Linked DNA regions of Drosophila melanogaster. Changing the gene in region 2 together with the main gene of any one other region gives a genetic interaction. Each region holds a gene or a part of one and is shown on either strand. Other genes may lie near its edges.

What was found.
Region 1: of elav (region 2) and ewg, changing one suppresses a phenotype caused by changing the other (phenotypic suppression), as found in Drosophila melanogaster (one study listed by BioGRID).

Annotation. Positions count from the first base shown.
Region 1 is NC_004354.4:276,339-281,438, reverse strand, and holds the start of ewg (erect wing), read left to right. Parts: upstream 1-1,804; 5' UTR 1,805-2,254; intron 2,255-5,061; exon of another isoform or gene 5,062-5,100. UniProt on the Drosophila melanogaster protein: May function as a positive regulator of transcription in developing and differentiated neurons, regulating common aspects of neuronal differentiation and maintenance. Requirement in the CNS may be higher than in the peripheral system.
Region 2 is NC_004354.4:520,071-525,300, reverse strand, and holds the start of elav (embryonic lethal abnormal vision), read left to right. Parts: upstream 1-2,074; 5' UTR 2,075-2,315; intron 2,316-3,604; 5' UTR 3,605-3,860; coding exon 3,861-3,861; intron 3,862-5,015; exon of another isoform or gene 5,016-5,224; intron 5,225-5,230. UniProt on the Drosophila melanogaster protein: Required for the proper development and maintenance of neurons presumably by affecting RNA metabolism.

The DNA.
Region 1 (5,100 bases), 240 kb from region 2:
TTCCAGTGGTCAATTTCATAATGATATAGAAGAATATTATTGCCAATTGTGAAATAAACGGAAATAGTACACGCCTCGACCCCTTTGACCCAATTCAGTTTTAAGTTGCCAAGCTGGATTAAATACTGAATTCAAGATCACTGCCAGTTTCGATTATGCAGAACCGATAAGGCCAGTTCGTGTAGAATTCCGGAAGAATTGCCGATAAGGAATAAGTAGGGCCAAGTTTCAGATAAATCCAAAGCCACTATGGGGAATTTGATTCGTTTTTTGGCATAAATGTGTTTTTAAAAATGTTTCAATTGTTGAACACTTTTTTCTTAACGGATTAAGATCAAGGCTTAAGTTATGTAACGCAAATGTAAATTAATCAATGTTAAAAACCACGTGCCATCGATGACCTTCTTTTTTAGTGCTTACGAAAATTAATTGAGTTTCAAAAAATTTTTGATATGTGTGTTAGTCAATGTTTTAGAGTGATTAATTACCTACTTAGAACACATACGGTTAACGCGACTTTTGCGAATGCTACTTATTGTGACTTTTCGCGAAGATTACATTTTTAGGTAGCAATCAGCAATGCGGCCCTGATAGAAGTGTACGAAATGCGACTCTGAAAGATTTTTTTATCAATAAAAATGTTAAGAGACTTAAGTTTGTACCGATTGTGGACAATCTAAAACATGGTGTAACTCCAATACATTGGTGGATTAGATAGAATATATTGATTTAAAAAAAAAATTTTATGGGAGTGGGCGGGGCACCCACTTTGCCAAAATAATTCTAAATTCATCGTATCTTAAATAGTTTACGAGATATTAATTTATGCCAATAAAACATGTTAAATTCCCCATAGTGCAAGCGCACTACCAGCCTCATTTCACAGCGATAAGCAACTTGTGGTTTCTTTTTATATAATATGAATTCTTTGGTTTTTACATACGGGCAATCTGTGTTAAAAAAAAACAATTCCTTTTATCACTATATACATCCTAATAATGAATTTTATTGTGTGAGTGCCGACGACGGACATAAAAACCCAACATTTTTGGTGGCAAGCAGTTAGTCGTCTTCGGTCGTTCTAGTTTACCAATCCTTCAGGATTTCATATCCCTAAACTATTTTTTTGTTTTTTATTTTTTGTTAAATTTCCCGCGTGTGAAATACGAAGTTGATTGTATGTCAGTTTTTCATTTGGCCTGGCTAGCTTACTCCTTTTTAAATATTGCTAGCTGCCTTGTGAAGGGCTTACGTGTAATTGCAGTTCGACTCCCGAATAATAAATTTTTCGACTGTTTAAAATTTACCATTATTTTGGGGTATCCTAAAAGTTTTGTTACATTAATAACTACATCTGATTAATTCGTGGATCAAATGTTGTATATTCTTTGTAGCGTTCATAATATAAACCTTTAAAAAAAGCTACTAATAAACTGTCTCTTATCAGATACGGAGATGGTGGAGTGCTAGAGAGAAATTTAAAAACTCTTCTAAAAAATAACAAACTAAATAAATATGAAACTATTATAAATATGTGAGTGTAATAGAGGACGTGGCAAGCCCAGGGAACAAATTTTCCCTGCATAGAAAGACTAAAATCTTTTTGGCACCAGAAAACTTAAATTTCTTATATCAAAAATTATTATTATATTATTATATTTATGGATTATTATATGCTTACTCAAAAATATACAATCAATTTTTCAACTAATATAAGTCCGCTAGGGGGACTTGAATTTAAACTTAAATAGCACAATTAGTGGGACCGCCAATCCTCGTTTCTCCTATGCATTTTAGAGTGACCGCTTTCCTTCGACTGCGATATGTATTGCGTGTACATTATCGACGTCTGAAAAAATCACGCGTGCTGTATATCGATATTTGTCATGTACTAAATACCATTCCTCGGCTAAATTAAATCGCAAAATTGCGTCGAAACTTGGGGAAAAGTGCTGGGACAGGCAGCTGAAAACTAAGCTAACGGAAAAGCATCGTGAGGGAAAACAGCGAAACTTTGCGAGCGGGAAATTTTGGAGCTACAACCTAGAAACGGCAGTGCGCAAATGTAAAATGCACGGAATATTCGCATGTGCAGTGTGATAATAAATAAACGCCAAAGAAAATTTTCGGCGCAGGGGCAAACACACCAATGCACAATAGCGGCGGCGCGTTCGTGTGCGTGCGCCTTTTTTTTCTTTGTGAGTGTGTATGTGTGTTATCATAAAGGAGCTGGAAAAACAACAAAAATACACAGGTGCGTATGTGGGTGTAAACTAGTGGTAGGGGTCAACAAATTTTCCGATTTTCCACTGTGACAGTCTATAATTTATATGTGTATATAGAGATTTGTAGTGGCATAAGTGAATGCCCAAAAGTTTCGGAGTTTCTGAGCTAACGGTTCTTGCTGGCTTGTGTGTGTGTATTAGGTTATCATATATGTGTGCTGGTGTATTTAGCTTGTGTTACCGTTACATCGGCGCCGTAAATGAAAATCCAACTGCGAGTGTCCGTAACTTAACCATGCGCCTCAGCTAAAAGTTAAAACAAAGACAGGAAACTCCGATAGGAAGGATGATGTGTAAAGTAGGGTTGTAGAATAGAAACGCCAAACAGGTATCACTTCCAATTGTGTGCACGACAGCACACGCATTTCCCATTTGCATTGGAAGGTATGCGTGTTTTTGATGCATCTGTGTCTGTGTGATTCTGACGTTTTTGGGGTTGCGAAAAACACCCAAACCACCCCCTAGAGACGAAAAATTTGTAGATACACACATGGATAAACAGAGCGGGATGGCTAGCTCACAGCAACCTTCATTGGGTTTTTCCAGTTCCAATAGTGAAGGACGCCACTGTTATAGGTTGTATTGGGGTGGGCTATAAAAGTACAGTTCCAATTGGAACAGGGCAACGGCCAGCCTACAATTACAGATTATATTTGTTACATCTTTTAAATCTAAGGAATAAGAGTATTTTATTTATTTTATGGCCGATTTAAACACATGCCTAACAAAAATAGTTTCTACTCGAGATGAGTTTAAGATAGTCAAGAACATTTAATAGCTCAAACAAATATAAAAATTTAGACATAACAAGAAGATTACATTTTTGCTGGTATTTTCCTGTTTCCCCGACTATAAACTCCTACGAACTCTTACTGTTGGTTGTATATGTACATACATATGTATATTTCTGTCACTGCATTGCTATGAACAGTGGTGGTCTTTGCGCCGACTCCACTGCCGCGACAACCTTCGCATGCGTAACTTGCCTCTCGTTTGTATTTTCGCTGTTATCATTTCATTTTTGTAGAGCTGTGCTGTCCAGCACAGAAAAAAGAGTATGGTGGGAAATTAAGAGAGGGAGAGAGAGAAACAGCAGTACCAAGAAAATTCGATTGTGGGAAAGGGAAAGTAAAAAAACACGGTGGGGTCAATTCTTTGCAGAACATAACAAATTGTCTTATCATAATTTGGTAATTATTGCGGCTGTTAGTCTTGCATGCTTAAAATTATAAAAAAGTGTCTTAAGGTATTTTTAATTTTCCTATATATGTATAGATAGAATAAACGATACTTCGATGTAAACGGCAGTAACTTTTTGGAGTTTACGGAAGCTGGGGTTAAAGAATTTAAATATTCAAAAATAATGAAATATTCACGAATACTAAAAATTGCCTTAAGAATACATATAAAACGCGAAAGCACACATACGCTTACATTAAATAGTAAATTGAGAAAACACCGAATAAGAAGAATTTATGATCGGATACAACAAGAGTATAATTTCTTTTCTAATATTTTGATCAAATTGAAACCGAAATTATGATGTCAAAAACGGCTTTTACGAGTATACGCTTTGTGCGAAATATAAAAACAAACTAGGATTCTTTTTCCTCAATTTCCCTGTGACTTTTCGACTTCTCGATGCAATTACAACCGAAATATATTGAAGTGTATATATGTATATATATATATATATACTTATGTATATATATGTACAGATGTTAAAACAACGATGCTACACTTTTTTAAATTATTTTTTTTTTTATTATTCCGTACCGAATAATATACCATGTGCAAGACAAAGAATACTCTTGGAAAAGGTGCAAGCATATAACATTAAAACTAAGAGAATAATTTTCGTAGACACGTATAGACGGACGTGGCTTTGTCGCCTGTGGTGTTGACACTGATCAAGAATAGTATACATCGCAAATGCCTTCTTTACAGTGTTGCTAACTTCCGACACAAAGTTTAGTTGCGCTTACTGCAACCTGTGGGCATCACTGTGTAGGCCTTAAATCTTAAAGGACTCTAAAATGGCCTACTTCTATAATTAGAAAGAAAACCTGAAGACTACATCCAACAAACGCAGAGCTTTTTAATTTGGCAATACTTTAGGTTCCTTCACACAATTTCATCACCCACCTTTTTCAGAATCCGGATAAGAATGTATATATGTATGTGTCTTAGGGGGTGAACATATACTCTCTCTACTCTTTTCCCCTTTCTCTCATCATCAGATGCCTATTTTGATTACAATCAAGGTTTAGAAGTGTGCTCACTTTTGCTGGGCCACTTTTCTCGATATATGTGTGGCACGCGCAAGTGGGTCGTGCTCACATCCCCTATAAGGACGTGGGAGTTGGTGGTGTTCCCACTGCATTGTTTCGCGGGGGTGATTGGGTAGTTCGAGTAGTGCATGCGTGGTAGTTTAAAAAAGATCCAAGGAAAATAAATAAAAACACTGCATAAGATAGTTTCATCGTGAGGTGCACCTCGAGCTGGGCGAGTTTGCGTGTGTATTCAGTGCGGTGAAAGGTGTGGGATTTAAGGGGTTGGTTTTTTCGGAGCCCGAATCTCTCCTTATACATTCCTATTAGGGGTGTTGATAACAGCTCATATATCTGAGCTCTTCTGGTTTAAAGTAAGGGAGCTTTAATGGAGACACAGTAGTGCACGTTTAACCGAAGTTATAAGAACATTCAAGTAATAACATTCATAACACATAAATAAAGTGGTATTTTTAATAAAGCCCCTGGACAGAGAAAGACGGCGAGAATTCCATATACCCATTTCAAGCAGCAATATTGACGCA
Region 2 (5,230 bases):
GCTCCTAGCTTTCGGTGCAGCACAACAAATATTTGGGTTGGTTCGTTTTTCCGCCACGATTTTAAAACGCTAAGGGTGGCTTTTTCGGAGTCCCTCTCATTTGAGCCGGGAAAAAGACCAGACCCTCCCTTTCCCTCCCCAGCCACTTTCCAGCTTTGTTGTAACCTCGTGTTGTGCCTGCTTTTTAATCCCGCTTTGTTGTAACGCAGGCCATTTGCTGTTTTTGTTTTGTTTCTGGCGTGGCTAAAACGGATTATGTGACCCAACCCTTTCGATTTCGAGTCTCATTGTATTACATCCTTTTCCCAAAAATGACTAAAAAAGCGTATTGCCTATTTCTGGGGTGGACAGAATGAAACGGGGTCAGCACGTGGCCGCAAACTTGAAATACCATTATGGATCCAATAGGACTGTGAAGAGTTATTAGTGAAACATTTCGAACAAACTATTCCTTTAATTGAAATTTGCCAATTCCCCACTTAAGCATCGCATTTGCATATTTGTATGCTAACCAAACTCTCTGCGACGTCGATCTGTCTGAATCTGAATCCGCATATCTTTCGAGGGCAGCAATAGCGCCACCCCACCCCATTTCCGTTGCCACTAGCAGCGCACCACCCTTTGAAAGGACATCAAAAACCACCCCCTGCCCAAAGTTGCGTTACAATTCCCGAAGTGCAGTGCAGCGTACATAAAACATACAATGAAATCCGATAAAATTTTCTATGTCCTTTATATCCTCATAACATGCCCAACTATAAACCGAGCCAAATTCTTCTCGTGAAAAAGTTGCACACAACGCGATTTCACTGTACCTTACATTGTTCTGTAAACTGGAACAGAGCGTCCGACTGGAAGAGGCGAAGGAAAAAATCAGCACAGGGAACAGGAAGTTCACAAGGATTGGGGGTGTCCGAGGGTGGCTACATATATATGGCGATATATGGCATACAGTATGTGCATACATATACATACATATACACATATATGTATGTATGTACCATACTATGTGGCGTGTCTAGTGGCGCGAATAACGAATACAGGAGCAATGAAGCACACGAACGAAGCGAAACGAAACGAAGGGAAATATTGAAAAAGCCAGAATTGCATTACTTCAAAACTATACCGGCTCTTGGATATGGGTCCTGGGTCTCGGTTCCTTGCTTCTGGCTTTCGCTTCGTAGGGGGTGTACGAGCAATACTGCCAGGAGAAACCACCCTAGCCTTTGGCGTTGGTGGTTGATAGTGCAAAAATAATAATAACGGAAACGGAACCATAAACCCAAAACAGCCCTTACAACGCGACTGATTTGTAAGGATAATGGTCGCATGCATCATAAAACGGTTGACGACCTCGTCGGAAAGAGCCAACATTTTGCAATGATTTCCAATTGCTCCTGCTATCTAGGCCCAATGGGCCGCTAAGTACATATGAAGCATACATAGCTAAATACATATGAAGCATACATACATCGGGTTAACTATAAAACCAATGTGTTCTAGATGAGTTTGTTAATTTTACAAAGTAAGTTAGGGCTGCTCCAGTGGTTTTAAGTTGCTTAACTGGACAAGAGAACTTGGCTCTCTCCCCCATCTATCTCTTGTCTTCGGGAAAGGTAACCTCCATTTTGATCGGTTGAATTTGTATCAAAAAGCATGAAAAACTTTGAATACAGCATAAACCACTGAGAGAGCAGCCGAAAGCCAGGGGTGTATCAAAAGGGGTTCTTAGAAATATTCCACTTTGCAACGATTATAGACTCGTTTCTTATCAGACAAAACTTTCTCCACTTCTACGTGGTATTTACAGAAACAAAACTTAAGGTAAAATGTTAGGTGGCTATATATTAAAGCTATTAAAATATATTAAAGGTTTCCGGAATAACCCCCTATCTCGGCGCGCAGATACGCCCATGTCGCCACTCTTTCGCTCTCTACCTTCCACTCTCGCTCCGAACACCATTGCAACCCCGAGAGAGCTGCTCGAGAGGCAACTATGAGATATGAGAATGAGAGGTTGCTCTATGTGAAAATGGAAACCGAAACCGTCAATGCCTCAATTTCGCATTTCATTATTTCATTTCCACGCCAACCATCGTGCGCCGCGGTCTGAACGCTCCTGCCACAGAAAAAGAAAATAAAAGCAAGGAAAATTCTAATCGAATACCAAATATCGTGCTTGTGTGCTCTTTCCGCAATTGATTTTTTTTAAGTAGTGCATGACAATAACCGTTGAGTTGACTCCAACCGAAGTAACCATAACTGGAAGCTGACAACAGCCATTGGCCGGAATCTCATCTCACACCGAGCGAAATGTAAGAGTATCCCCAGGATATCCACAATTTGTGCAACTGAATGAAAGGCAATGATAACAATATCAATCAACAACTTTGAAACAGTACTTTTTTTTTGCTAATGATCGCGTCGCGCTGCATAATTGTGCAATTTACTCACTTATAATCCGCGTGTCTGCATATATCCATATGTACCTATATCTATTTTTTTGCTAGTGGGTGTGTGATGTGTGTAAGTTGTATACATTCAAACGAATATTAATAGGCAAAACAACAATATGCAATTCGATGGAGGAAAAAGCGAACCTCCCAAAGAGAGTGGCGGAGAGATGGGCGGCGGTTAGTCAGAGTGAGAGGGGGCGGCCAGTGCGGAGATAGTAGATGTGTTCAGATCTACGCCTCTGTGAGCTGTGTATCTGTAAATACTTGCTGCTCAAATTTAAATCTGTGTGTGTATGTGTGTGTGGGCTTGCGTGTGCGGGAGAGAAGAGCGCTGAGTGTTAGAGCGAGAGCCAGTTCCGAAGAGGGCGCAGCTAGCATATCGATTTTATGATTTCATGTGCAAGGAGCATTGTACGCAACAACAAACGGAGGAACACGACCAACTAACCGTTAGAAGTAGCCATTTTTTGAGCGCAGCGGAGAGGGTGGGCGAGTGTGTGTGGGTGGCGGAGTACTTGCAGTCAACAAAACGCCGGTTGCCATAAAAGCAAATGCACGCAGGCATGAATCAGACCCATGTCGTAGTAGCAATATTAAACATAGAGGATTCGCGATTCACAGCAAAGGAGTTTTTTCTCAAAAAACGACAACAATTAGTTTTTTTTTTCCCAGTGGTCGTCTGTGTTTATGCTTGTGTGGAAGAGAGCTCGAAATAGGTAGATATATACACGCGTATTTATTTATTATGTGTACATATGTGCTTGTAAAAACAATATCAGCCATACAAAGTTTGAGTCCCCTCCGCCCACCTCCTAACAACAACATCGATATCTAAATCGGTGCAGGTAAAGAGCGGTTGCTACAGGCCCAAATAACCTCTCTTCAGTAGAATTTTACCAACATCTCAAAGTATTCTCGCTGCGCCACATGTATGCGTATCTGCACGCAGATATATTTTTTGTATCGCCTGTGAAATATGAATTCAATGCTTTGGATGGGGTAAAATCGATAATATCGATTGGCGATAACAATCGCACGCACACACACAGGCCCGCAAACACGAACAACTAAAACTACAACAACAACCACCAAACCCATCGAATTTACCGCTTATAGTTTTGTTTTATTTTTGTTTTTGTCCACATCAGACGGCGACGCCAGCGTTTATTTATTAAAAACGATTACATTACAACAAACACCAAAGTCCTGGACAACCGAAGAGAGTGTGGGAGAAAATCGAAGCAGAGAGCAAGGAGGAGCGCCGTGAGAGCGCGCGCGCAAGGATTTGAGATTGCAAAGAGAACTTAGCAATTAGTTCGCTTTGTTTGTCCAGCCAAACAACAACAACAACCAACCAGCTCCCCAAAACCAACTACACACATACTCGCTCCCTAAACTAAAACAAGTGAGTATTGAAAGACGACGGGCCGAGCTGACGAGATCGCAGGACGAAAGAGAGAAAACTTTCGAAGGGTGCGGTGTCGTGTCAAGGCAACACAATCAAACCACTAATGCGGAATATTAAAAAAAAAAATTAATTTAAATCATAAGAGGTTAGCTATATTTGATATATATATGTGTGTATCCATGTACATATGTCTATGTTAGACAAGTAGCTCCTTCTTGCCGTATTGTAGTTCGGGTTATCGTTACCCGCCTCTAATTGGCTTGCCATGACGAAAGTGGGTGGTACAGGACGACGACGTGCGTGCGCGTGACCTTTTGACTCTTCCATAAGCGCCTCAATAAAAGGTGCGAGTCGGTACATACATATGTATGAGAATAGAGGATATTAAAAACTAAGAAAAGCATCCACCAAAGTAAAAACAGTAGCAACTAAAAACTTTTCAGTCTCAGCTAACCAGTCCAAACCAGCTATGTAGTTTTTAGCACGACTTTGGGAGTGTCGAATGCGTTAACTAAAGCTCAAATATATATCGAGACCCGCTGTAGTCCCTATATGCAAATCAAATTGCTACCATTTCCGCAGCGATCGCTTTTCGCGACAGCCCCCTCTCTCTGTCGCACTTAGTTCAGTGAACCAACACATTCGCTGGTTTCGTTCCGAGCAGCATCCTCTGTCTCTCTTGCTCAGCCTCTTCGCCGCCCCCTCTGCCTAAGCCTCTGTTTCTGCTGTCCGCACCCCTTACCAAGGTGTCATGTAAATGGCGGAGCCGGCTTAGGGGGTGGCAATGCCGTGCTTTTAACCCTTATCGGTGGCAAATGGCGCTCGTACATTTGGAGAAAATGCCGTTCTACGTTTCGTTTTGCTTCGTTTCGCCAAGCGAAGTATTACAACTTGTTTGACTAAGGGTGGGTCTACCGTCTATTGCTCATTTATGGTGTTTTGATGCTTTCTCAAGGGGTGCGGGCTGGTTTCTCGCATGTCCTGACCCTCTGGGTCATCCCTCTGTTCACCGCATTACATAACTGGGCGGGGTGCACAGCGCGACACACTCTTATGGAGAGAGCGCTGTAATTTGCGGAAAGGAGACGAGGGGGAGAAGGGACGCAAGAGCAGCTACAGCGCGCAGCAGTGCCAGAAAGTCCTGCGCTCGCCCCAGAAGCATCCTGTTCCTGTGACGCAGCGGATCTGGTCTCGCGTTCGCTCCACTACCTCCACTTCCTACACCTACAGTACACATATCACATGAACTTAAAACTAGTGAACGGATTAATTAAAAAGGAATCGCAAAACAAAAGCTCGCTAATCGCGCAGACACAGCAGAAGCTTAAATTCAGAAAAGTTTAGTTCTTCAGTGCCGAAGGTGTGT